4 linked regions of the Oreochromis niloticus genome follow. The protein of the gene in region 3 interacts with the protein of the main gene of each other region in a pairwise test. Links are inferred from orthologs where the notes say so. Each region holds a gene or a part of one and is shown on either strand. Other genes may lie near its edges.

Evidence for each region.
Region 1: the proteins of cep76 (region 3) and nhlrc2 interact in binary tests that used the Homo sapiens proteins (3 or more experiments, as listed by UniProt). The two-hybrid records come from large-scale screens. The link is inferred for Oreochromis niloticus from reciprocal best matches to the Homo sapiens genes CEP76 and NHLRC2.
Region 2: the proteins of cep76 (region 3) and pom121 interact in binary tests that used the Homo sapiens proteins (3 or more experiments, as listed by UniProt). The two-hybrid records come from large-scale screens. The link is inferred for Oreochromis niloticus from reciprocal best matches to the Homo sapiens genes CEP76 and POM121.
Region 4: the proteins of cep76 (region 3) and pard6b interact in binary tests that used the Homo sapiens proteins (3 or more experiments, as listed by UniProt). The two-hybrid records come from large-scale screens. The link is inferred for Oreochromis niloticus from reciprocal best matches to the Homo sapiens genes CEP76 and PARD6B.

The regions. Positions count from the first base shown.
Region 1 is NC_031973.2:14,310,548-14,318,112, reverse strand, and holds the start of nhlrc2 (NHL repeat-containing protein 2), read right to left. Parts: upstream 3,014-7,565; 5' UTR 2,856-3,013; coding exon 2,693-2,855; intron 433-2,692; coding exon 280-432; intron 1-279. Other genes in the region: dclre1a (DNA cross-link repair 1A protein), read left to right, coding at 3,387-3,813, 4,486-5,847, 5,940-6,073, 7,433-7,551. UniProt on the Homo sapiens protein: Required for normal embryonic development.
Region 2 is NC_031975.2:24,313,462-24,320,334, reverse strand, and holds the start of pom121 (nuclear envelope pore membrane protein POM 121), read left to right. Parts: upstream 1-3,860; 5' UTR 3,861-3,895; coding exon 3,896-4,470; intron 4,471-5,148; coding exon 5,149-5,355; intron 5,356-5,584; coding exon 5,585-5,734; intron 5,735-6,524; coding exon 6,525-6,605; intron 6,606-6,725; coding exon 6,726-6,873. UniProt on the Homo sapiens protein: Essential component of the nuclear pore complex (NPC). The repeat-containing domain may be involved in anchoring components of the pore complex to the pore membrane. When overexpressed in cells induces the formation of cytoplasmic annulate lamellae (AL).
Region 3 is NC_031976.2:5,547,200-5,554,393, forward strand, and holds the start of cep76 (centrosomal protein of 76 kDa), read left to right. Parts: upstream 1-4,194; 5' UTR 4,195-4,397; coding exon 4,398-4,460; intron 4,461-5,042; coding exon 5,043-5,198; intron 5,199-5,431; coding exon 5,432-5,516; intron 5,517-5,609; coding exon 5,610-5,834; intron 5,835-5,942; coding exon 5,943-6,128; intron 6,129-7,194. Other genes in the region: ptpn2a (tyrosine-protein phosphatase non-receptor type 2a), read left to right, coding at 1-171. UniProt on the Homo sapiens protein: Centrosomal protein involved in regulation of centriole duplication. Required to limit centriole duplication to once per cell cycle by preventing centriole reduplication.
Region 4 is NC_031984.2:31,749,897-31,756,969, forward strand, and holds the start of pard6b (partitioning defective 6 homolog beta), read left to right. Parts: upstream 1-4,063; 5' UTR 4,064-4,422; coding exon 4,423-4,485; intron 4,486-5,789; coding exon 5,790-6,012; intron 6,013-7,073. UniProt on the Homo sapiens protein: Adapter protein involved in asymmetrical cell division and cell polarization processes. Probably involved in formation of epithelial tight junctions.

The sequences.
Region 1 (7,565 bases), on a different chromosome or scaffold from region 3:
ATTTTCTATCAAACAGGCAAAAGACAAACATGTGAATGGGGAAAGATTGATAAAACATGCTTTTCCAGGATGGCAGATGGACGGATGGAAAAAATTAATAAATATCAAGCAAAGCATTACGGAGCATTACGTTATATTTAATGTGGACAGCAGGGAAAGCGATGAGCAGGGTTTTCAAACAATACACAGTTTCACAGTTTTTCTACTTTAGGATTTTCCTTGAGCTGATTAAATTAGCTGTATGGAAACTACCTCGTAGTTAGTAGAGTATGTACAAACCTTTTACAGAGTGTCTCTTCTCTAGTTGATGCAGGTCAGGAAGGATGTGGATGCAGTTGATGCAGCAGTAAGTGAAGAAATCCAGCAGCACCACTTTACCAGCCAGCTCCTTGTTTAAAGAGAGAGGCCCCTCCGTGTTCAGCCACTCTAAGCCTGGAGCAAATCACAGAGTGGAAAATGATGTTGTCATCTTTCTAATTATGTTTAGTCACGGTGTAGGCAAATGCTTTACATTACCATCCTAGAAGGGCTATGGATATAGTAACAAAACACCTAAAAGGCATATCTGTCTTGGGCCTGACACAGCGTTTGTGTCACATGGGAGAAAAAGTTGGATAGTTTGATGGATCAAAGCAGTGACTTGAAAGTTCTTGTGGCCCAAGTGTTATGTTAAATACCATAAAAAGGTTTTTTGTTGTAGATTTAGATCAGCTTGTTTCACACTTCTTTCATGTGCATTCTAAATTGTGTCTGATAGCATTTGTCACGCTTAACTCGTGCACATTTGATAAGTTTAATGTCACACTTTACAGCATGGTGAGTATCAAAATCCAGTACAGAGTGAAAGAATAATACCCCCACCTAAGTTTTCCATTGATAATCTGCTCAAGACTAAACCCTTCTTAACCTTTCAAAGAAATGTACGAAAGAGGAAGAACAAAACAAATCACATAGATTCATAATCATATCAGCCAATGGGGTACCTATGTAAAGATGTGTGCTTTTTTAGTGATGAATCTAGTTGCTCTTTCAGTGTTTAGCCCCAAAGGGTTTTTTTTGGCGAAACAAATCTCCACTTCATCCCCATTTTTAGATCTCTTAAGTGCACTTGCACACAGTGTTTTGCAAACAGCCGCATGACACCTTGTTCTTGTTGATGAGATAACTCTTTAGAACTCCAACAGTATGTTTGAATCGTTGCTGCAGAATGAATTTGGGACCGATCATATGCCTCGCTGTTGGTATGCGGCAGCAGATAAGAATCTAACCCCCCCCCCCAAAAAAAACCAAAAACTCACATGCATAAAAGATTAGCACAGTACGGAGCAGCTTAAAGGCTCCTTTTCTTCTTTATCTCTGACTGTGCAGAAGAGAGTCCAATTAGATAAATTTAGAACGAATTCTGAATTAAGAAAAAAAAAGAAGCACGGGTTGTGGGGACCTTGTTATTTTCAGATTGAGCCTTGTGTGACTCTAGTATTTGATGTTCTAACAGTAGATCACCACCTACTGGTGTGGTGAAATATTGTCAATATGCTGCATCCTTCAGCAGCAGACCTAAGTTTCCCACAACTAAACTTTAATTACATTACCAATTAATTGGAGGGCAATAAATACAATATTTAATTAAATGTATTTGTTTTATTTTTTGTTTAGAATAGAATAGAATAGGATTTGATTGTTTTTATATTCTTTTGCATATAAAAGACAAGTGGATGCTGATCCGACTATTAAAACCAAGGAACCCTGCATGTTCAGTGGCTAACAACTTATGCCCAACAACTTATCCACTTATGTAAACTAGGGCTAATTAGATTGCAGAACATTGACTCAATATGTGAGATGGTGGTAACACTCAAATAGATTTTTAGCTTTCTGACCATTCAAGTACAGAAAAGACCAGATGCACTCCTTCTTGTGGATCTAGAGAAAGCATACGACAGGGTGCCAAGACAGGAACTATGGTGCCACATGAGAAAGTCAAGAGTGACAGAGAAGTATGTGAGGGTGGCGCAGGGTATGTCTAAGGACTCTGTGCAGCAGTTGAGAGAGATTAAAGTTTCATCAGGGATTAGTTTAGAGCCCCTTCTTATTTACAGTGGTGATGGATAGTCCATGCCTGACCTCACCTGTTAAGCTATGATGCTTGCAGACTACTAATCTGTAAGGTGTCGAAATGGTGAAGGTGGATGAGTTTAAATACTTTGGGACAACCATCCAAAGCAGCGGACAGTGCACAAGAGTGGTAAAGAAGATAGGGTGGAGTGGGTGGAGACGAGTGACTCGGGTGATTTGTGACAGAAGGATAATAGCAAGAATGAAAAGGAAGGTTTACAAGATATTAGTGAGACCTACTGCGATGTACTGCATTGACAAATAGACATATTTTACATACTATTAAATTACATGAATGCCTGTAATTTTTCTTCCTCTTCCGGAGTAGATAAGGTAGCTAGCTAATTAATTGACAGACTATGAAGAACTTGTGTTTAAGGGTTACAAGGCGTGTGGTACTGTAACGTTAGCTTTTAAAAGGAAAGAGAGCTCTTCCTAAATAGACTGTGATTGTCCAGCATTCTTAATGTATATATGAATGAACATGCCGAGTGCTGTAGTGACGAGCAGAGTTGGCAAACTCAAGTCAAACTGCTACGAAAGAGAGGCAAAGTGTTTAAGCTAAAGCTGGTCTAACCTGTCTGGAAATCGGGTATCTTCAGGTCCTCTCTCTCGTCTAACTTTTTAAGATATTGTTGAACGAGATCTTCTTTTTCTTGCTGTGTTGTAGCGTCATCTAGATCGTTATCCAGCTGACTTTGGACAGGAAACAGTGTAGAGACGCTGCACCGGGACGCCATGTTTCCAGCAACAACAACCAGCTAGCTCGGTAAAGCAGCGAGGAGATTCATACCGCGGATTTCGACACAATAGCAAAAAATCTTATCGACTATAAGGGCTCTAAAAGAGTTTCAGTTTCAATTATCCGAATTAAATACCCTCTAAAATAGGCTTTTTATTTTTTTCAGCCTTCAAAACAAACAATTGGCTAATTTAATCGTTTAAAACGTGTCGAAAGTGTTGTTGTCCCTTTCTAGTTGTTTTTACTCCATTCATTGTAGCATAGTGGCGGTAAGTCCTGCTGCTGACATGTCAGTAAACGGTGTGTCAAGAAGGAAAATTTCTCCATGTAGTTGTTAAATAATGAGCTTCAACGGTTTATCAGTAACAAATATCCGCAGTGTATTATATAATATATAAGGAAGTTGTCAGTAGCCGTTAACTTGCTGTGATTAAAATAGTTATCGCGGAATGTTACCAAACACCAGTCCTTGTGTAATAACAATGGTTTCGAGGTAACGTCGGGCACGTTACGCTTTATTTTGCTCCAAATGTCACAGAAAGAAAATGAAAATGACATCTGGGACTATAAACCTCTTGGCAAGAAAAAGAAGAGGCATGAATCGCCGCCTAAAAACACTAAAAGAAAATGCACTTTCAGGAAATCCTCCAAGAAAGACGCATCTTCTCTCTCAATCAAGCCACAAGACAGGAACGCAAAAGCCAAAGCGGCAGAAAGTGGAGTCAGTGCTACAGCTGGAATAACAGACGACTGTAACTTAAGCTTAAATGCACGGGAGCTCAACTCAAAGAGATCTCCCACAAAAGAAACAAATCAAAGTGACAGTGCTGCAGCCGAGGGCCCATCCCCTGAAGACTTCTGCCCCATCTGTCAGATGCCATTCTTCATTTTGGTTGTGCAGTCCCAAAGATGGCACGTGGCTGAATGTATTGACACCCCCAGGGATACGTGCACAGGTACAGACATCCATACTCATCATACATCTTAAAGTTAGAGAGGCAGAAAGAAAATGGAAGCAGGTTGGAGACAAAGATAGAGAAGCAAGCCTGAGATGTTTGGTGCATAGTGGGATGGGGATAATTGATATAATGGACAAAGGATTCTGTCCAATGTATCCATTGCCAGGGAGAATGAAAAGTGCAAGACCACAGAGAAGATTAATGGATGTAGTCAAGGAGGACATGCAGAGTAGTGTGACAGAAGGGGAAGCTCGGGATAGGGATGGAGGTTGATCTCCTGTGGTGTCTCCCAAAAAGGAACAGCTGGAAGAAGATATGGCATACAGACATATCTATGATAATTCCCTTCATTTCCCATAATGCATTGTGATGGTATCCTTCATGCTTGTTGGATGGTAGAAGGGATTCCCATTCCTTATGACATGAAAGCTTCTACATAGCCTAACAGCTCAAAGGATTAAAAGAAATGTGCACTGACAGTGTAGCACTGATTTTATGCACTTAGCTCAGTTGTGTTTATCCTGAACAGCAGGATGATAAGATACGTTTATAGTATATATCATCCATTCAGTTTAGTTTAGAATAGCGTAGTTGGTAAAGTGATAAATATCATCCTCTTGTAACCCTGCTCTAACGAGTTCAGGCACTCTTTTTTATCTGTTCATACAGAATGTCCAGATGGTCTTCGGTGCTCCTCCACCATTCCAAACCATTACAAGAAATTCAACCACACACTTCTGGCCCACAGTCGAGCCAGCAGCGACACAGCCCTCCTCAGTCTGTCCCAACAGGCTGAGACCAGCCTGGATTGTTTTCCAGGACTGATCAAAAATCAGGGGTCTATTTTAGATTCTTCACAGCAAACCGCTCTAACTCCTTCTGCGTTATCCAGTCCTAGCTCCTCACCTCACCAAAGTCACACCGAAACACCTCAGTCAAAACTTACAAATGGCCTTCTGCTCCTGCGTTCTCCTGGACCAGAGGATTTTAAGAAAAAGAAAGGCTGGTCGTCATCTACTAAAAGCCAAAACTCTGTCACTGCTTCTCAAGAAAGTAATAAAGAGGACTTATCCATCCCTGTCAAGGAAAACAGTGGACAGCAGGCTAGTGAAGATTTACACAAAAGTGAGGATTCTTTGGAAAATGATGACATGATATCCTACTCTCCTCTTTCTGAGTTCCCTGCAGAGACTGAAATCAATACTACAGAATGTAGAAAATCTCTTTTTAATGACAGTGCAATTCAAAATGAGCATGAAGACTCGATGACGCTGTTCAGTGACAGCTTCTCCGGTGAAGATGAGCTCCTCACTGACTTTATAAACAGCAATTCAGGAGCCAGCAATGTGCAAGGAAAGAATCTGCCTTCTACAAACACCCAGCTGGGTGCAGTTTCCTCATTAGCACCCACTAATCAGTTAGCTGTTGAGACCAGAGCTGCTTCCTCAGGTGGCAAAGAAGCTTCTGAAATCAATAAGACTAGTATTCAGTCTCCACAGAGTATTGTCTTAGAGCGCCTGAGAGACACTCTTCTGAGCTCAGATAACTCACACTCCCAAAACTCAAACAGCATTATTCAAACAGAGCAACCAGCTTCTCTTCAAGTGCCTTCATCTCAAACCTCCATTGTCCAAAGATCTCAAGCCATGCCCCCTCAGAAGGGCCACAGCAAAGCCGGTCAAGTCTCGGGTCTCAAACAAACTGACATCGGGGTGTTTTTTGGCCTCAAACCGCTGAGGGAAAAGGAGAAAGAAGCAGAGAGTGGACCAAATGACCTCAACGCTTCGTCTACTCCAACGGCTGGGAAGAGCTCGGGACAGAGACGGCAAAGAAGAGAGCGGCAGAGAAAAAATAAAGCTGACACACCTGCAGATACGCCACAGGCCACAGAAACCATTAACCCATCAGTAGATGGACAGGGAGAAGTCTGGGGGAGGGGTGGGGCCACAGGGAGGAGGAGGTGGAGGAACAGAGTCAATGCTGATGGAGAAGCACAGCTGCCCCGTTGCCCTTTCTATAAGAAAATCCCAGGTTAGTAAGCAAATGTACATTTCTTCTTGCTGTGTAAATTTAAAGATTAATTATTATTTAATTTGTAATCTTTTGCAAAAAACTTTCCCCAGGCACAAAGTTTGCCATTGATGCCTTTAGATATGGACAGATCGAGGGCATCACAGCCTACTTCCTTACTCACTTCCACTCAGACCACTACGGAGGCTTGACCAAGACTTCCACTGTTCCCATCTACTGCAACAGAGTAAGTCAATCTGTAGTTTTGATGAAATAATTTACTTAGTTTTGTTTTTATTTGGTACCGGATCACCTAGTGCCAGGGACAGTTCACCCTTAAATCACATTTGTCTGTGAGGTACCCAGCTATGAAGATATTGGATGAAGAGATGTCTGCCTTCTCATGAATACATTCTTGCTTATGTTGTGCAGGATTTAGATGATTGGGGTTGCACAATCTGCGTTTTGAAATCAGAATCAAGTACTCCACTATGATTTATTATATGCATTTATTTGCATAAGACAATTGCTGTTTCTCTATGATACAAAACAGTCAGGGTGATGGATTTTATCCCTGCTTTGAGTCCACAGTTGAAACTATATCCAACACAATGTCAGCAAAAGGCTGACATTTTGTCAGTTTCTGTATTTCTCCTTCAGTGGTATGGAAGCGATTCACTTATTTGAAAATGATTCCCCCCCCCCCCCCCCCCCCCCCACACACACACACCCCTCTCTGCCGCCAGAAATCCTATTTACTTTCAACTCATTAAAAAGCTTCCTCACTTCCACAGAACTCATAGAGGAAGCACTTGATCCATTTGTTATCTCTCTGCACTGCTTTGACTCACATTAATGGAAAAAGCGGCTTGCGTTTGGCAGCTATGAATACCAATATTCAAATGGCTCTGATCACAGTTGAGTCAATTAAAATTCGAAGACCTTTGTGGGATCTTTTTTTCTTCTTTTGGACACAGTAATACAACATTTGATGTGCAGTAAAATAAGTTTATCTGGGGCCCAGTTGTTTGCCATCCCCTTTGTTGTTACTGTGAAAAAGCTACATCAGTGAAGGTGTGTTAAATGTAAAGAATTATCTAAATAAACTGACTTTTGCAGTTAAATAAGTGTAAAATCTTTAGCTCAGACTTTATTGCCTATTTTTGGTTCAAATAGCTACGACTTAACAATATATAATGTCAGGTATGATATGAGGTATGAACTTGAAATAATATAAAAGTCAAGAGACTAGAGATGTTGGGAGTTCTGCTATCAAGTGGGTCAGGTTTATCACAGTAGTGTGTGTGTTTTCTGGGGATTAGGCTAAAAACAGACTTATAAGTACTTATTGGGACTCCGTTTGCTAGGCCACAGACTTTGAGCGTGGGCGCCAGGTGGATCACAGCCCAGAAAAGTTTGATCATAATCACAGAGGGTAATTAGAAAGTAGATTGTGTAAATAAGATTTCAAGGCCAGGGTTTGGGAGGCGGGGGGTGGGGTGAATTACTCTGCAGACAGTTACATGAATATCTGAGATTGTTTGAAACCTGATCATCACTGTAAACTGCAAAGATTTGTTCACTCTCAGCTGTGTCTCCTGATTAGATTACAGGGAACCTGGTGAAGAGCAAACTGAGGGTGGCCGAGCAGTACGTCCACATCCTCCCAATGAATACTGAAGTCACTGTGGAGGGGGTCCGGGTCATCCTCCTAGACGCTAACCAGTGAGTCATCTGTG
Region 2 (6,873 bases), on a different chromosome or scaffold from region 3:
AAACCAGAGCTCCCTCCCCAGCTTGTTCAGCTGAGACAGAGGAAGATTCTTTCATCTCTCTTTGCCTTCACCAAAACAACCATGGCAGTCTCCTACATGCCCAAGCGAGGGAAGAATGTGCTTCTTTTGAGCACAAAGCATAGGGAACCAGCAGTCAGTGATGGGGAAAAGAAGAAGCCAGCAGCAATCCTTGATTACAATAGGTGTAAAGGTGGAGTGGATAACCTAGACAAGGTTGTTGGCACCTACAGTTGTCGGAGGAAAACCAGTCACTGGCCACTGGCTCTGTTCTACAATCTTCTGGACGTCTCAGCATACAGTGCCTTTGTCCTGTGGAAAGCAGTGCATCCTGAGTGGGAGTCCACCAAGACCCACCAACGAAGGGTGTTCCTGGAGGAGCTGGGCCACATGCTGGTGACTCCAGAAATTGCAAGACGGCCTTGTGCCCCACGCTCAAAAGCAGCCGCTGCTATTGTTGCTGAGATACAGCAGTCAGAATCAGAATCAGAGTATGACCCACAGCCCATCAACAAAATGAGGAAAAGGTGCGAACTGTGTATAAACAGAAGAAGAACGGCAACCACTTGCTCCAGCTGTGGAAAGAGTGTCTGCAAAGATCACTCTGCTGTGGTTTGCGTGTCCTGCCTTCCCTGAGTGCGCGCACACACACACACACACACACACACACACACACACACACACACACACACACAGAAAGAGGATGTATTTTGTACAAACAAGCAATAAAAGGCCGTTTTTGGCATGACTAACAAGGTGGGAGTTTCTTTTATTGGGGTCATTACTCACAGGAATAATACAAAATATTAATATTAATAATTATTATTTTTGTTACTGGCACTGACCTGCAATGATTTAAAAAAAAAAGAAAAGGTTTCGTCATTCAACTGCTGAAAAAATTTGAACTTTATTGCTATTTCCCCCCCAAAAACATAGTAGTAACATATAATTTGACTGGTATTCAAAGGGTATAATTTCTAATTTTGAATTATATTTTGGTTTTCATGACTAGGACTGGTTTTCATTTAAAAATGAAGTTGGTCTAAGTAGAAAAATGTTTTAATATAAATGAATTTTATAGCATTTTGTAAATGTAAACAAGGGGTGGCCATTTTTGGCCACGAACAGTCTGAGAGGGAGTTTTTTTGTTTTTCTGCCACTGCAGAAAAAAACAATGTTGCATAAATGTCATTGATGCTGTTAATTATTGCTATGCATCTAACCTTCATCATGGTTAGCAAATAAATCAGATGGCATGTATTATTTAGAAAAAAAACTGGGATTTTATGATTTTCTCTATTTATGAGTTGTTATGATTATGTGCTCTAACTAGTATTTAAAGGGTTAAATTTCAGAATTTTAATGAAATTGTGATTTTCATGAACAGCCCTGATGCTAATCTAAAAAATCATGTAAAAAAAACTGGACATTTTTCTTAATATATATGAATTTTATAGCATTTTGTAAATGTAAACAAGGGGTGGCCATTTTTGGCCACGAACAGTCTGAGAGGGAGTTTTTATGTTTTTGCTCTCTCTGCACTAAAATAACAATGCATTATAATCAGTGTTGATGTGAATCAATTATATGCCCCAGACTCTATACAAGAAATTTCAGTAGCAATGCAATTATATAAAATTGCGAGATTTGAGGTTGTCATCCAGCTGGTGCAGTGGACAAACAAACTGGTGTTTAAAGGGTTAAAAAATAAAAAAGTAATAATTATTTTATATTTATGGAAAGAACTGAAGTTACTTAAAAGCTTTATGCAGAAAAAATGGCAAAAAACCAAAAATAATAAAAATTACAGACCTAATCTGTAGGTGGCCACTTTTGGCCACGAACAAGCTGAAAGGGTAGTGATTTGATCAGACTCAGAGAGTTAAATTGACTTTCATACCTCTTTTTGTACACCAACTGTGACATTCTCTGAAGTAATGACAATCATATTCATGAATATAAATCTCAGGGAGGCCATAATTTCTGTTGTTTTCCTTGTTGTATGTTTTGACATAATATGGTGTTTGATTTATTTCAAATCAAGAAAAACATTTTATCCTCTTTTTTTGTTCTTCGTCTTTCAGATGTTCCTTTTAGGGGGCACCACAGTGCATCCTCCATCTCACCCTATCCATAGCCTCCTTTTCTGTCACACCAGTCCCTATGCATGAATTTTCTCTGTGCTCTTCCTCATTTTCAGTATCCTTTGTCCAATATATCCACTGTCCCTTCTTCTGCATTTTTCCAAACCATCTCAGACTTGCCTCTAACTTTGTCTCCAAACTGCTTAGCCCCCCTGATATTCTCATTTCTAATCCTGTCATTCTGCTCACTCCCAATGAAAATCTTAACATCTTTAGCTGTTTCTCTTCCAGTTCAGCCTCCTATCTTTTTCTCAGTGATACCAGCTCCAAGCCATATATCATAGCAGGTCTCACTACCATCTTGTAAATCTTACCCTTTACTCCCGCTGCTATCCTTCTGTCACAAATCACCCCTAACAACAGCCTCCACCTATTCTACCTTGCATGCACTCTCTTTTTCACCTTTCTTGTGCCCTGTCCATTGGTTTGGATGGTTAACCCCAGGTATCTGACCTCATCCAGGCATTCTCTGTTAAACAGTCTGGTCAAAAAGTCCATTGCTCGCTCTACTAGACATCTCCATACCTCCACAGGTTGTCATCTGGACCATCTGGTTTTCCACTTTCATCTTCTTCATAGCTGCCCTCAGTTCCTCTTTACTAATGATTCACCAACATTCCTTCATATATCCTGCTCTCACTCTCATTATCTCCATCCCAAAGTCCTCATCGTACTCCTTCCAAGAAAAAACATGTTTAAATAATATCACAAAATAAAAATTAACATTCTGCTAAAAACACTTGTCTGTGGTCTTGTCTAGGTAAATAGAAGAGTAGTATGGCAAATCTAAATTTAAAGGTCCACTGTTGTTTGGTGATTTTTGAACTATGCGCTGTTGGACTCAGGCCGGATTATTTTCCCAGGGAATTTACCCATGTAATCTTGGTGGCTGTTTATGTTCCCCTCTCTTCTAACCCCACTGCTGCATTTGACATTATCCACTCTGCCAAAGCCCGGTTACAGACTCAGCATCTGAATGAGGGCAGATCCAATGAGTTGAATTCGTTTTTAACAGATTCGACACTGCAGTAAATGCTCACCCCCCTACTGACCTACCTGTAGTTAACCTGCAATCCACAGCCACGCCACTCTCTCTCCTTCTCTCTCCATATTGCACCATAAAATCTTATGAAAATCCTGACACCCCTCCCACACCTAGCGCTTTCACTCATGACCAGGTTCAAAGAGAACAGAGAAGACTCCACTCAGGCAAGTCTGCTGGACCAAACAGGGTGAGTCCCCTTGTCCTCAAGGCCTGTGCCCCCAGCTTTGTGGAGTCTTTCATTAACTGTTCATGGTGAATCTGAGCCCGCAGAGGGTCCCAGTGTGGAAGACGTCACAGCGGCCCCCAGGATTACAGGCCTGTGGCACTGACTTCCCACGTCAGACCCTGGAAAGACTCATCCCTGACCAGTCCCAAACTATTATCAGGATCCCCTTCACAAACTGCATGCTGTGTTTACTCCAGTTATCTTTGTCTAATATTAAAATTGAATTGATGATCTGAAACATTTAAGTGTGACGAATATGCAAAAAAATAAAAATAATAATCATACATATGTTTTACACAACAGTTTACATTACATTTGTCCTAGGTTCAGCAAAAGGAAGATTAATTTAATGAGCAGTAACACTGGCGGCGTTTAACAGCCCCACCTCGGTAGATGGCGCTAATGCGCGTGAATACAAATATAAATCCAAGAAGTAATGTCGGAAGAACAGCATGATGGGATATGAGAGTCCTCCGGCGGCGCGTTGCCGCCATGTCTCCTAGAGAAAAACATTTATTGCTTCTCTCTGCTCTAGGCCTAGTTACTCTCGCTTTTTATTATATTCCTACTTTTCTTTATGTGACCTTAATTCTTGCAGTTTGTTGTATTGCCTGTTATTATCATAGCGGAGAACCGCTTCCCGCCAGGTTAGGCCCGAATCCTCGGGGTGGGCTAAACGTTCCGGCCGTAGTGCGGCGCTGGCTGTGGAGCTGGGAGGCGACCGGCGTCTCGGTACCCGCACGGGGGAGAGCGAAGAGCAGCGACAGCAACAGAGCCGAGCTCCGGGAATCAGAAGGACACTTAAGACAAAGACTCGCTGAAAGCGGCGTTTATCGAAAGGAATCCTTATCAAGCGAGTCTTTTCTTTTCAGCCCCCGGGATTTTCTCATGGGGAGTTACATCGGGAAACCGGAGAGCCCAACCGCCGACTCGGGGAGGCGGAGAGCCGTGAGAAATCCCCGAGAGCAGCTCCGGGAAAAGCTAGCCAGACCCAACCATGCCGTCTATACTCCAAACAGAAGGCTTTCATTTGCTGGGTATGTTCAGGCTAAAATCAAATCAATCACATCACGGTTTTACCGGCGTAATACAGCCCGTTCTTTTTGAATGGAGGCGGTTAAGTTGTTGGAATTCAAAAGGCTAAAGGTGCAGCTTGGCGGTTTTTAATGACTAACCTTTGAGCCGTCAGAGCGATCTCTGTAGCTCCACACAGCTATCCAAATGTGCTACACGTTACTGCAACCTTATACGTATATATGTGTACAGGTTAAGTCATGTGCAAAAGTTTCCCATTACAGTAATTTACTACTAATATAGTACCGGCATTTCCAATCTGTGAACAGTTATGATAGAAAACTTGAATTGTCGGCCATATAAATTACTTTGGAGCTGAAAAGCATATTTAGCAGGTTTGCTGTATTGGCAATGTAATAATGTATTTAGAAAGCAAAACAAAGCATTAGACTTTTACCTAATAATGGGATTTATTTCCGCTATCGCCCCAACCATTATAGAGACTGACAAATGGTATCTGACATGAAATATTAGAGACAGGAACAACAGTTCACGTTTTCTGTAATATTAGTGAGTATTATATGTTTGGGTTTTCCCATAAAAATCTATTATGGCCATTTGTGGGATTACAAAAACACAGACGAAAAACAGACTTTAAGACCCTTCATTTTGCCTTGGCCTCTAATTGTTCTGTCCTGCAGGGAGACACTGGGAGCAGCGAGCAGGTTCACCATCACACCCCAGCGCCACTACCCCCTGCAGCAGCCGGGTGTCTCGTCAGTGGGAATCCTTCCTCCCGTCAAATGGGACGGTTTCAGAAAGAAAAACATCCTCAGCCCTCGCAATTCCCCGGCTGCCCTCAGTCCTGTCACAGTGAAGATCGCCAGGCCTGACCACAGCTCCCCCAGGTCTCTGCATGATCTATGCATTACAGTGTTTCAGTTTAGATCATCAGCTTGAATCAGATCTCTTTAAACTCTAACATAACCTGTTTTAAGAGATTAATGTCAAAACCCTTTTGATACAACTTTTGCAATGGCTGTTTACCTTTCTTTTTATCCAACGCTTAGTAAATCCCTGATTTGTGTGTTGTCGGCAGCTCTGACTTTTGTGTTTGATTGCTTTATTTTTTTTCAGCATGGACCATTTGAGTTATGCCGTTCTCCCCAGAGCACCTGCCGATCCGTGCTCCAGAGAGAGTGTCCTCAAGGTGCTGAAGGAAAGCCGCAAGAGAGAAGTGGAGGACGAGGACAGGAGCTTTACAACTGAGCAGAAAAGCAAAAGAAGGTACGAGGCAGCACATGAATGCTGACAAGCTTTATATTTGCCTTTTTATGTAGTTTGGCAACACTTTGTTTTGTCTGATAGCTGTAAGGTTATTATAGTAAACTAAAAGTAGGTATAAAAACATTTAAACTGAAATAAATTTAAAAAATAGACTGGAAAAAAAGAACTTACTGTACTCACACAGCAAACCTAAGACACAAAAAGTATCATGTGTTTTGTTTAAACCTTCTTGGTCTGTAGGTAATACATAGTGTGGTTATTAGCAAGGCTACAGAAAAACTGCCTGTTGATGCTTTCAGTTGTCTCTGTCTCTTAGCTTTACGGACAGCTGCAAACAGAATGGATGAATAGCTTTTTCCTATTAACACCATTTCCCAGTCCATTTGTGGTGCACTTGTAAAGCTCACTCTTCTAATGTAATGTTCCAACAAAGTATACACTCCCACATAAGGCCTTGCATTCTTGTGAATGCATATAACAGCTGCATTATAATGCTGTATTCATTGCTTCCCTTTTTTTTCCCCAATAATTTGAATAGATACAGATCACATGCTAATACAAGATACAAATGTGGACTTAAAGTCTTCTATAAATACATTACCGGAGCTCAAATGCAGTTTTGAGTTACTGAAGGATGGCAAGAAAATTGGAAATATCACTAAAACTTAACACAGCACATTTTACATAGGTTTTCTCTATCTCTATTTTCTCTATTTCTCTATATTTCAAAAATAATAAATGGTTGTTGTTTTTTTTCCATTTTATTTGTTTTAATTTTTTACTTCCTAAGACGTAATGACAGCGGTGGAAGTGCACACTCTGCTTTTGAACCCCTTTTGCCCAATGGTACGCCGTCACAGCTGGTTCCGAAGTAAGTTAAACTTTTCTACTAGTCATGCTGTTAGATCATGTCTTATGAAAACCTGTGGTACAGGGTGAAGTATACTGTGGTGCTACCTGTGCATTAAGAGAAATACTTTCCCTTTCCCAGGCCGGGAAGTCTGAAAAGAGGGATGACCTCAGTGACTGAGGAGTCCATTATGAAGAGGTCTCGGACATCCTCAATCAGCTCTGGCAGTGGAGCTCATGCCCCAAGAGGAACCCCGGGCACCAGGAGAAATGCCATCCAGAGTTCCTAC
Region 3 (7,194 bases):
GAAAGGATTGCCAGCACAGCACAGAGGGTCCAACAAATGAAACAGAGACTGACAGAGTCTGAGAGGAAACAGGAGAAGTGGCAGTACTGGAGACCCATCCTGTTCAACGTCGGCGCCGGCGCCGGGGCTGTCTTGGCTGTAGGCCTGCTGTACTGGATGTATTCCCAGTGAAGCACTGCGGGTCATTTAAAACTGACTCCTATTTTGCACCGGTACCTGGGATTAGGTACTTCTTCTCGACATAGATTTAGACAGTAATATGTGCAGAATTGAGGGTATTTATTTCTCAAGGTCAAAATGTGGGAGCGCTAGATCAAACGAGCGTCTGTATATTTTTCATGTAAGATCGAAACAAAAAAATAGTAACATCTCAGGATCTCGGTGCCAGCACGATGATTTAATTTCCTTTCCTTCTTGTCACTGCTCATGAATGTACTGTATCATAGCAAAAATGGCTTTGCAGAAACTTACTAAAGGTGCAGTACAAAGAAAAATATATAGTGACAGGTTTATTTTTACATTCTTTATTTGTAATAGTCAGATATGTGTCGATCAACACGTTTTACATTTTACATTTCAGAATGACTTGTGTTGACTTGTTCATCCTACTGTAGACTTGTAGGAAAACTCCAGAGCCAAGAGGTCAGCTGTAGGGTTTTACTTTTCTTTAGTTTTAATGTAATATAATGAAATGCATGCGTTCTGTGGTTTTCCAGACCACCACTTGTTCTTCCATTCACATTTAGCAGGGCATCCCAACACGGCCAGAAGAATATTTTTGTGTGACTGGACACTTCATAGGGAGCTTCCTTGCCAATGTTTCACACTCTGCTAGAATGTTCATTTTCTGTTATGTGCACACTTTTTTTTTTTTTTCTTTCTTTTGCCTGCATTTGTTAGCTGCCACATGGATCATAAACGTTGCCCCCTAGGAAGTTATTTACCCACTGGATGGGTTGGTCTGTGTATGTTCAGGTGATCACGCTTTTTTTTTTTTTTTTTTTTTTTTTTTTTTTTTTTTTTTGTTTATTTTAAGAAACCAAAGCCTGTTTTTAGGAAGGTAACAGTCAGACAAGCTCCTAATGATGAACCCTCGTATACTCCCCTCATGTCGAATGTATATTCTGTTGAATCTCTCTGTCATAACTGACACCTGTATTACAAAATGATGCTAGTACCGTTCTACATCCTGTCCGTGTTTTGAACCCACATGATCGCCGATTCGGTTTTCAATTGACTGGGACCAATCCAAAGCTACAATAGTGCAATTTAGAAGCTGAAGGAGAGCACCTTGGATTAAATTTAGAAGAGAGCGATGTCCTTGTGGGCTGGTTGATAAAGCGTTTAATGTGCCTTGAAATGTGTTAAATAGGGAAAGGAGGAAAAAAAAGTGCGCTCCCAGAATTTTTTTTTTTTTTTGGTGTGTGATCAGTACAGAAAATTGTCATGTCGCACATAATGTGAGTAACATGTTTGCACTGCAATGACCAGATTAGAGGTGGTGTACAGTAACATGTGTTTGAGTTGATTGAACATTGAATGTGTCATTAGCATGTATTGACTCCTGAAGTGAAATTTTTGATTGGCTACAGTAGAACATGGCTTTTATTTTATTATTATTAATATTGTTATTTTCTTATTTAACCCCAGAGAAGTGTAACATTCCATTCATTTATTGTTTTCTGTGTACAGTTTTCAGGGGAGTTTTGTACACTGAGCTGCAGTGTGGAACATGACAGAAGAGTTTTGATGAGAAAAATGACAAAACCAAACAAAAACATTAAATACTTCATAAAAAATAAAATTTTCTTTTTTTCTTTTTTTTTTTTTTTATAAACCAAACTTTGCTTGCCTGTTCTTTAATTCTGTATCCGTAAAGCAGCTTTACCCACAGCTCTTCCCATCTCACCCACTTTCTGTGCTGTTACTCATAATTTCATTCTGACCATGAGCTAAATCAATGCAGACAGACTGGAGACCTCTCACTGTGGATTCCAGGAATTGATTCAATATTTCAAGAAGAGGCCATGCTCACATTGACTGCTGTAGTAATTTCATTTTCTCTTGTCTGGGACTGTGTGTGTATTTTGTGTTGAATGTATTTTGTGCCTTTGTACTTATTTCAGCTTGTCTGTTTGATGCTGGCTCGATCTCTGCTTTGTCGTTATGTCGTACAGCTCCTCCTAATTCTTTCAGCCGGTCCTTTTAGAGGTCGCCACAGCGAATCATCTGCCCTCCATCTCACACTGTCCCTAGCATCATCCTGCTCTGTCACACCAATCCTCTGCATGTCCTCCTTCCCTACACCCATGAACCTCCTCGGAGATCTTCCGCTCTAGCTTGGTCACTTCTAGCTCAGTTTCCTTTTTGTCAGTGCCACCATCTCAAAAGAGACGATATGTAAACCTTCCCTTTCAGTGTTTCTGCTGTCCTTTCACAAATCACCCCTGACATTTATCTTCTACCCTGCCTCTACTCTGTTCCTCACCTCTCCCCTGCACTGTCTGCTTTTGGATGGTTGACCCCAGGTATTTAAACTCTATCTTCACTCTCTCTAATTATTGTACGGTCGTCTTATCACCTGTCTCCCTCTCATTCACACTTGTATTTTGTATTACTTCTACTGACTTTAATCCTCTACAGTCCATACCACCACCTCTATGGGCTCTCATCCACCTACTCCCCAATCACACTACAGATCAGTGTCATCTGCAAACATCATAGTCCTGCCTGACCTCAACTGTCAGTATACGCCCATTGCTTCTGAAAACAAGAAAGGGCACAGAGCAGATCCTTGATTGTTTATAACTCCTACTGCATGCATCACCACTGTCTCATTGGCCTCATACATGTCCTGCACTACACTCGCACACTTCTCTGGGCCTCTTGACTTCCTCATAAAGTACCACAGTTCCTCTCTTGGCGCTTTCTCTAGATCCACAATGGCACAGTGAAGCACCTTCTGACCTCTATACTTCTCAATGATTACTCTTAAATATAACATCACATCTGTAGTGTTCTTTCTCTGCATGAGGCCATACTGATGCTCAATGATCATAACCTATATTAATTTAGCTTCAACTCTTTCACATATCTTTATGGGCTGACCCATCAGCTTTATCCCTCTGTAGTTACTACAGCTCTGCACATTACCTTTGTTCTTCCCCATACCTCAGGCATCTCTCACTTTCCACGGTTGTGTTAAACAATCTGGTTAAAAAGTCCACTGTCCTCTCTCCTAGACATCTCCATACCTCTACAGGTATGGTGTCTGGACCAGCTGCCTTTCCACTCTGGATCCCATTGTAGCTGCCCTCCCTTCCTCCTTACTAATCCTTGGCTCTTCCTGATTCACTAACTGTCCTCCATCCATCCTCCTCTCTCTCTTATTTTCTTCATTCATCAGCTCCTCAAAGTACTCCTTCAGTCTTCTCAACTCCATTTCTTCACTTCATAGCTATATCTGTCCTGAATCACTCTAACCTGCTACACGTGCTTTCCAGCTCGATCTCTCTGCCTAGCCAATCTGTCCCTTTCTCATCCATTAGTATTTGGTCTCACATACAACTTAAGACTTTACCGACCCACCACCTCTTTGTAACATCTGTTTTCCTCACCATTCTTCATCCATTGAACCCCGCCCCTCCCCGAATGACGACACTCTCTACTCATTAACAGAATTTAAACAATAGGTCAGTTATAATGCAACCATATTCACCATAAGTGTCTTTTTCTTAAAACACTTGACTGATATTTGACACAAATCTTGCCCCCTACTGGCATAATTATAAGTACTTATAATACGTACGAGTCATTAAAGCTTAGAAAGTTACGTTTAAATTTTTATTCCTTTGTCGATAGGCAGGATATGCGTAATTTGATCCATTTATGTCTTGCCTTAGTATGAAAACGCCTCCACATATAAAAAATAAACATAAAAACAGTGGCTATAATTTAAACTACAATTCAAGGGTCTTTCACATGTCGTCGCAATTCGTGACGCGATTGGGGTACGTAAAAATATCCCTGAATAAAATGGGGAATATTTGGTGAGCAAAAATGAAATAAAACTACAATAAATGCACCACCAAAAATACGTATATCGTGGTTTATATGGTGATTCTTATAAATCCTGTAACTTTAGAGCAAAATTGTCGAGGTATTGATTTTTTTTCCGGAGTATGGTGTCGGGCATCAGCGGAGAAACCTTCCCGCTCGCTTTTCCGCCACTGTTTGAACTGGCAGTTGTTGCTGTCAGAAAAGAACATTTCTGCGAAAAATGGCGAATGCACACAAAGTTTCATTATAACTCAACGGCGTTATTTATTGTTTCTACCAGTACCCATGTATAAGCCTGGCTAGCTAGCTTAGCCTAAAAAGCACAAATAATAGCAATAATGTCGCTGCCTCCAGAAAAAGCTTCCGAGCTGAAGCAAATCATTCACAACCATCTGCTCAAGGTGAGAAAACTACATAGATTTTATGGCTATTCGTGTTGTAAACAATGTACAGTTGAATGCTGAAGTCCTTAAGCAGCATGGTTACACGGGTATTTTTCATGAAGGGGGGAAGCTAGCTGTTTATAGTGGGCAAATAGATTTTTTTTAATGTCACAAATTCCTATTTCCTTGCATTTGCACATCACAGAGAAATCACATATTACCACCTAGTTGGTAAGATTGGCTGCACCATCTCTTTATACAGCATTATTTAAAGCACCGTTGGGAACCCGTGCTGTTTTCCAGCCAAGCGTCTATAAGCAGATAAAGTACAAATTCACACAGCAAACAAGACCAATTTCGATCCTACATTTGTTGCTGATTTGAATGAAAAATTGATTTGTAAAAAGTAATGAATGAGAAAAGATTTCGCATCAATAATGCACCGAATAGACGGTACTTATAGGTCTACTGATATAAAACATACACACACACTTCCCAAAATCAGAGTTTAAATGGGAAAGGACTGTTTTTAGAGGATGTTTAGAAAGCACAAACACAATTTTTAAGTAGGTGAAGGAATTTTGTTTTTCTGTTTGTCAGATGGATATCCATGGGAAGATCCGAGAGGTCCTGGCTGAGACTGTGAGGGATGATCAAGGCCCAGCACGTCGGTCTCTGTCTGAAGCAGATTTCCTGCGTGCTCTGCAGCGTAGAGGCATCATAGATGATATGATGAAAGATCTTCACTTTACACAGGTTTCCCAGCTTTTTTGATGCAATTTCAGACCTGCATTGCTAATTGGTTTTTAATATAGAAGTATTTTTCATTCCATCCATCAATCAAACATCTACAATGTATCAATCCCCTTGATAGCTACGTTTTACTTTCACAGTTTGCCTTCAGTATGGATTAAAAATATCTGTAATACAGTGTGTCAGTTCTGTCCCATCTTTTCTGACTGTTCTGTCTTGTCATTTTGGCGTGGTAGGAAGCCGGCACAGAAGCAGAAACGGGATCACCTACAAAACCTGCTACTCATTTTGTTGATAAAGATATCACTCATCTGAAAAAAAGTAAGAAACATTATTTGCATACCAAGCAAATAATAATATGATGCACAGATTGTTTTGCCTAACGTTATTCCTCTTCTACTTTTCTCTTCTCAGCCAATATTGACCCATCAAGGCGATGCCTGTATCTCCAGGTGCTTGGAGGGAAAGCCTTTTTGGAGCATCTCCAGGAGCCGGAGCCCTTACCTGGTCAGGTGTGTTCTACCTTCACACTCTACCTGCACTTCCGCAACCAGAGGTTTCGATCAAAGCCAGTGCCCTGTGCCTGTGAACCTGACCTCAAGGAGGGCTTCCTGTTAGAGATCCACAGAGACGGTATAGGTGTGTGTTAACCACAACTGTTTGTGTCAATCACAAATACTGTTCTCATTGTATTGCTTAATAAACCATCCATGTACAGAGTATAATTTTACAATTTTTGTATTCCAGGGGAAAGTGGTAAGATGGCAGATGCGACCTCCATGCTGTCAGTGTGTGACCCAGTGCACTTTGTGCTGATAAAAACAGACACCTCAAGTGAAACAATGCTTGTCTCATCCTACTTCCTGGACTGGAGGACTGTCCTAAGCTCGCCCAGCTGCAAGACCTGCTTTGCTGTAGAGCTGATGGGAGTTGGTGAGCAACAGACTCTCTCTGCACAAAGAGTTTCTAATGAAGGGTTCTTTTGATTTTAATTTTGAAGAACAAAAGCAGAAGTCAAAAAATCATGCTGGATATCTAGCTATATAGACCGGTTAATGTGTTGGTTGGAAATGAAAATGATCAACCTACAAAGTGCTGAATTCAAAGACACTCCCACAATAAAAGTGAAAAAATGATGTGGCAGTGCTCTGGGGTGAGGTGCTCTGTTGGATTTAGGTGAGCGGAGGGGTCAGTAAGTGGTATAAATTCCTTCGTCCTCCAGCCTGCATACTCTCACCCCATGAGGCCGGGCATTGTGTTGCACCAGACGGAATCCATGACCCACTGTATCAGTGTAGGGTCTGACACTGGGTCCAGTGATTTATTCCTGATATCTAATGGCAGTCAGGGTTCTGTTGCCTAGCCTGTAGAGGGCTGTGAAGATATGGCTCCCCTGACCATCACTCACTGACCACCAAACCAGTCATGCCAAATGATGTTACAGGCAGTATCATTCTCCAAACCCCTTCGCATCTGTCACATGTACTCAGGGTGAACCTGCTCTCATCTGTGAAAAACACAGAGCCATTAGAGGACATCAGGCCCTCAGGCCACTCTAATGAAGTCTGTTTCTGATTTTTTTGTTAAGAGACATTCACACCAGTGACCTGCTAAAGATAATTTTGTAGCTCTGGAGTGCTCATCCTGTTCCTCCTTGCATAAAGGAGCAGATACCGTCATGCTGATGGGTTAAGGATCTAAGGATGTCTAGCTGTCTTAGACATTCCTGTGTCCTGGAATGTCTTCCATGCTCTTGAGACTATGCTGGGAGACACAGAAATCCTGGTAGGGATTATTGATGTGCCATTCTGGAGGAATGGGTGGAGTGCCCACTCCGGGTCGGGGATGAGTTCCTGCCCCAAGTGGAGGAGTTTAAGTATCTCGGGGTCTTGTTCGCGAGTGATGGGAGAAGGGAGCCGGAGATCAACAGACGGATTGGTGCTGCGGCTGCAGTGATGCGGACGCTGCACCGGTCCGTCGTGGTGAAGAGGGAGCTGAG
Region 4 (7,073 bases), on a different chromosome or scaffold from region 3:
ACTCACATCCTGGGCTATCTGACCTCAGGAATTCACATGACAAGGTGGGGCCAGGTTTCACAATGAGCTCACCCGAAACCCTGGCTGATTAGGTACCACACCCGCTTTCACACCTTGGCTCATGTGATTAGAGGATCACCAGGGGGTCCTTTGTCCCTCCTTGGGGGGATACTCCCACTGGGTTTAAATCTGGGACTCTCGGCCATTTGACCTTAGAACTGAAGAAGCTTCTCGGATGAGAGGTGAAACGTCTTCAAGCAACTCAAAGAAGTCCAGACGCTTTTCTTTGCAAATTCCTTTACGATGACCTGGATGACTGAGAACCTTCACAGACAAAATGAACAAAACAATGAAAAAGGCTCATGGTACTCAATTACTCTACGTTATCGTGTTTTACTTACACTTTTCAGTTGTAGTTGCTGACAATAAATAATATTGATTTGAATAATTAATGATTTTAGTACAAGATACTGATGAGTATAGATACCTATTTCTCAAATATTTTGATTCAATTTTAAACAAAAATATTAAGTACATGCAAAGAAGGTATTCCATGAACCACATACTGAATTTTTTGTCTGAGATAAATGTAAATAAATACCTTAATTTAACACAAACACATACGTTAACATTTTAGACGTTTATTTCAACTTATGAAACTCAAATAATTACTAAAAGGATATTCATAGATTTTATCAGGTTCATCTAACTTATATTTATAGTGATATTTACTAAGCCTCTGAATTAATTTTTAGAGTGTATGTGCAAAACTTATGAAAGTGTAATCAGGGAACTGGAGCTGGAGGGTAGCAGGACACAGGTGAAAATAATCATAGACAATAAGACAGGAGGCAGGAAGTCAAATTAAACACAAAACACTAAAGTCAAGCAACTATCAAATAAAACAGGGTTATACGGATACATGACAAAACTTAGGGGGAACTGACAGGAGGGTGAGTCAGGGAACAATGAGGGGAAAATGCAAACTGGAACTAACACATAAAAGCTCTGCATAAATAAAAATCAAGGAATAAACAGTTTAAAAAAAAATCCCTTATTTTAGATGTTCAATGTTTGATTCTCAAAGTCCAAGAAACCCAGGGACTGTGACATCTACAATATGCTCAGAAGTGAGCAGACTTCTCTCCACATTTGTCATCAAATTGAAGTCTACAATTACTTTACTCTCCTCATTCTTCTCACCACCCTCAGGGTAACCTCCATTATCTCCTCTCTCTCTTTTCACTTCCATCATCCTCTATCACATCTTCTTGTTACACAGACAGACCCTCTACAAGAAGGAAACACACAGGACTGTTATTAGCCTCGTAACCTGCTTATGGCTTCATCCTGTTTTCAATCTTTTGTGTGCTAAAACATCAGAGGTCAAACCAGGTCATCAGAACACATGTAGTCACACAGTATTTCAGTAATGCAGTGTGACTCAGTGGCTAAGAATACATTTAAATAACCTAAATGGTCTCTTTGAGACCCAAGACACAGCACAGCACTGTTTCAAGGTGGTAGGAAGGAGATAGGAACTTAAATATAACCACTTGCTACAACCAAGGTTTGCAGAAGAGCATCTATGAATGCACAACACATTGGACCTGGATGGACTATTGCAGCAGAAGACCACAAACTCATGTCAGCTAAGAACAGGTAATGGAGGATACAGTTTGCACGTTTTCATTGTAAAAAAAAAACAAAACAAAAAAACATTATCTGGTCTATGAACCATGATTTCTGGTGAAAAGTTCAGATGGTAGGATCACAAATGTTGTGTAAATGACATGAAAGCATGGATCCATTCTGCTGTGGATCAGTGGTTCAGTCTGCTGACTGTAGTGATGTAATCGTGTGTGGGGGGTTTTCTTGGTGCACTTTAGGCCCCTTAGCTCCAGCTGAGCATTATTTAAATACCACAGCCTCCCTGAATGTTTTTGATGACCATCCCTTCATGGCCACAGTGTACCCATCTTCTGATGACTGGTTCCAAAAGGATAATGCTCCACATTACAAAGTTTCAATTATATCAAACTGGCTTGTTGAACCTGGCAGTGAGGTCACTGTACTCAAATGGCCTCGCCTGTCACCAGTTCCCAGTCCAATAGAGCACCTCTGGGATGTGCTCAGTTCAATGTGGACCAACATCTCTGAGGAATGTTTCTGGACCTTTTTGAAACAAAGACACAAAGAATTAAGGCAAAATGAGGCTGCAGCACTACTAACAAGATATACAGACAGTGTGAGAGTAAAACTTAGGTAGCTGCTCTCACTTGTGTGGGAATATGTATATGGTTAAACCTATGATGGGTCTAATGAGGTTACAAATGTGCAAAAGAAGAAAACCCATGTTTCAATAATTTTGATTTTGATTTTTTTGTTGTTTTAGTGGAACACCATCTGTAATGAAAAGCACATGACTGTATCAACATAAGCTACCCTGTGTCTGCCTTCTGTTTTCCAGTCATGTGAAGAATCCTTTGCCTGCATGAAGCAGGATATTATACAGAAGGAGGAACTCCGACTATTTTCTACACACGTATAAGCTTTGAAAAAAAAAACTGTTGTGTTTTGTGTCTTTCAGAGGAAGATAAATCATTGCTGCTTTCTGCGCTCAGTCAAATATGTGTATATTTCATCTTCAAATCGAGACATTTGTAGTTTTTAAAACAAGGACATGCATCTCCCTTCGCAGTCTCTGTCTCCCTCTAGTGTCTACAAGTAATATGTGAACAAACGTCGAGCTGTGAGTTTGTTACATGCTTAGTACAACTGTGCAACTTATCAATTTTTTTCATTTTCTGAACTAAAGTGAGTGCTTTTAGCTGAAATTTTGATCAATGGAATTTTAGCGTTATGTTTTATTTACTCAACAAATACATCTCGATTTTCATATAAAATGTCAAAGTGACGGTGCAGAGGGATGCATTTTTCTTGTTATTTGACCAACTAAATCTGACTTCTAAAGTTGTTGCTTTTTTGTTTGTTTGGTTTTTTTTTAAAGAGAGAAGGATTTTAGGATTTTATTCATAGTCAAAATGTTACTCTGTAAAGTAACTTTAAAGGAATATTTTAGTCGTTTTCACTCACTGATAATAACCCTGCTAAGATTCCTTTTGCTGTATTCAGCTAAAAAAGTTCTTTATCTGTTTATACAATAAATTCCAAAGTTCCAGAATGCCAGTTTCACTTTCAATTAAATATAATTAAATAATTATTTCTAACATGTTTTTATGTCTTATGTAAAAAAAAGGACATGGCATTGTGTGAGAGATGCCCTTCTCCAAAGATGAATGTTGTAAAATGTAAAAACTACGCGATGCCTTGTCTTGGAAACAATAATTACGCATCAATAAGCCATTTAATAACGTCAGATGGGCTGTTTATACATTGTAAATTAATATGTCTACAACAACAAAACCTTGTAGACATTTATTATGATGGAATTCTTGGTCTGGGTCACCATGAAGGCATCGAGTTTGAAAGGGTTAAGTATCTGCATTTACCGGGCAGGTAGCCAGCAGCTGCAGCAGGTATATATTGGTTTTGGCCATAAGATGTCACTATAAAATTAAAACACTCACAAGATGTAGCCAGAGCAGGAACTACAGTTTATTTTTTGTACCCATATGAATTCTACATACGCAGGTAACACTTCATTCAACTATCATAAAATCTCTGTTACACTATTAGTTTTTACTGGGTACAGTATAACTGTTTAAATAGTTAATGCAAACGATTTTAATTTAGGGTTTTTAGAGATATGGTCATCATTACGTTATTAGAGTGAGAAAGTACAACTCTAAGTGCATCAGTGCTTCAGTTAACATGATGGCAAACACCCCCCCACACACACACACACACTTAAAATAGTTTTTTTTTTTTTTATGAATGACATTAAAAACAAAAAATGAGGCATTACTGTTCATTATTGTTCGAGCTATTTGGAGCATGGTTGCCACACCGTGCCAGGACAGAGTGGGCTAATGCTGGTGAGGTGGAAGCTGGCTCTTATTTTGAAGCCACAGAGTATTATAAATGCCACGCCTTTTATTTTGAAGTCCCGTATCTCCGGCTCTCCGGGTACGGGCAGGGAGAGAGAGTCGCAGGCAGAGGTAAGCCAGAGACGGTACGCTGTGGGGCTGTAGCTACGGTGTCAGCGGCAAGTATGAGAGGAGACAAGTTTACGAGCTGAAGCTGGCTGATTGACAGCCTCTGTCGCATTCTGTGGAGGGACCACTCATACCGGCGGACGTCAAGAAGTCGCGGTGTAGTCTGTGCGACTGAAACACCCCACAACTAAAACATTAAAAACAACTGGTGGACACACGGGGTTTGTGGATAGACATTGGCAGCGGCGGCAGGAGCAGGGAGAGAGTGTGAGTGCTTTGGCGGCGGTCCCGCTGCTAGAGAAACATGAACAAAAACCACCGAGTGCCGAGCAGCCGTTCTCTGAATGCAGTGGAGGTGAAGAGCAAGGTGGGTACGGACACTTATTTGTCAGGTATCCTTCCAGTGTTTGTACTCCCGACAACCTTCGTCCTCATTAAATCCACTCTTGCTAATTTAGCCTGCTAAAGTGGCTTGATAGCGGGTTATTATGAAGCAAGGCTTATAAACTTTAAGAGGAGCTAACGGTTTTTTTGTTTTGTTTTTCACTGTGACCACCCGGGTGTTTGGTTACAATTCTTAAAACTTTATTGGTAACCGTGGCGTAGTTTTTTGGTCGTTTTACGTCTAAAGGCTAGCTAGTTTGTGGCAAGGTGGAGGGTTTTTGTCAGCTGACTGCGCAGTGAGCCAGTGTCACCTGTCACAGCCTTCTCCGCCGTACTCTCCTACTCGTTTACCGAGTACTGACTTCAAGTTTGAGTCAACTCTTTAACTTAATTTAATCTGCGTGGAAAGTTTGCTCAAATTAACAAAAGTTTATGTCAAATTACGTCGGTTAAAGGTGTCAGTCGTTGCCTGTCGTGTTATTTGCCTGCGGTTACAGGTGTCACACGGCCTGCGTCAGGCTCGTGGCTCCATCCGCGCCCTGCTGAGGCATGACCACACATAAGTGTAATGAATAATGACTATATTGTTCTAGACGTTTTTGGACGCGTTGACACAAGCTGTCAAATATTTTCAGCTGCAACACTCATTTTTTGCCTTCCTCATACTTTACCTAGATTAGTTACTATAGCTATTATTATTATTTAATCAGCTATCCCGGGATTTTTAAGTTTTTTGACTCTTCTGAGTTAAGATTATCTTCCTTATGTCCCCAACCACTTATTAAATTAACTCTGCTTTGCATTGATGCATAAAATAACTGATTAAGCTGGGAGATCATCTTTTGTCAGTGCTGAGCAACAGTAACCACAACAGCCGGTACCTCTCACTAGCACTACCAATGAGGCATTGTGCTCTGTCTCAACTACAGAGCTGCCTAAAGATTAGGCATCTGCAGCCATTGATCCAGTCAGCCCACGGGCTTAAATGGGTAAACCAGCAACACGTTTGTGGTGATTGTACATATGCTGAAAGCACACTGTCTTTCTAATAGCTGCATGATAAATACGCTGTGTGGTAGCTTGATAAAAGCTTTAATCTGCAAGCCTAGAGATACACAAAACACGTGAATAATTTACCACACGTGGTGTGCTTTGGCTTACGCATCAGTACAAAGTAGGCTTATCAAGCACTGTTTCATACCCTGGTTTCGGCCATACGTCACACCTCTGTGTGTATTTGTGTGTTCATTTGCAATCACATGTGAACGCCTTTCTGCCCCATCCCAGTTTGGTGCAGAGTTTCGTCGGTTCTCTCTGGATCGGTCCAAGCCAGGCCGCTTCGACGAGTTCTACGGTCTCCTGCAGCATGTGCATCGCATCCCCAACGTGGAGCTGTTGGTGGGCTATGCTGACGTGCACGGTGACCTGCTGCCCATCAACAATGACGACAATTACCACAAGGCCATCTCCACAGCTAACCCTCTACTCAGGCTGTTCCTCCAGAGGAAAGGTATGCACAGAGGAAGTGTTTGGACAAAGAGTCCCAAGTTTTCATTTGTTTGCTTGGTTACATCTGCTTTGCATTGGAAATGCAAATACAGTCATTAGCATTGAAAAGCACAGCTTAGAAATATGTGATAGGCTATTGACTATAGCTGTGACAGAGTTATAAATACTTAAGTGTCACTTTACATTGTAAGTTTTTAGGCTACTTGTTGTATGTTGCCATGTTCAGCGAAACAAACTAAATGGTAAATGCTAAACCACTGGCCTCTATTTTTTTTCCTTATTGATTTCTAGTTAACTAAGCTAAGGTTAGGGGGCTTGTTGAGAGGAAGAATGCACTTGAAATGAGGAGTTCACTATAAGAGCTGAGCAAAACAACAAGAGTAGACTAATGGAGTTCACTTTGAGTTTGTCCAGTAGGCTGTTTTGTATTGCAGCTCGGTAGCTGCATGGGAGTTGTTTTTTTACGTGTCTGACTGTTTTGGAAATACGGGTTTCAAGTTTGACAGTGCTGCTGTCGAACAGTGTTTCTGTAAACACTGCTGCTGCAGTTTCTAACTTCCTTTGCTGGCTCTGGTGTAATCATTACCAATGTTCCTGCCATAATTGCTGTGCTTTTGCAGTTCCCCTTGTAGATAAGTTTTTAATCTTTAGCTAATAAAGGAATAAGTTGTGGCTGCTCTAAATTCATGCTCACAAGTATGGCTTACCTTTATTTCATGTGTATGATTACTGCAGGTCTTACTATACCAGCCTTGGTGTCTGATATTGGCATATTGCCAATTAACATGGCATTTACTGATGTCAGTGGTCAACATTAATATGTTCTGTCTTCAAGATTTCACACGAGCTGAGTGTTCAAAGATTGTGTTACAAAAAGCTGAAAGACTTTAAATGGGGTCAGTTGTTTCTTTCTTTTTTTTTTTTTGTTATCATGGAGTAAATGAGGTATAAGCACAACAAAAGGGAAAGAAGTAGATTTGGAAACAAAATGCTGCTGTTGGCCTATAATTTCACAATCAGTGTATCCATAGTGATTACATAAACATGTTTCTGTCAGAGTAT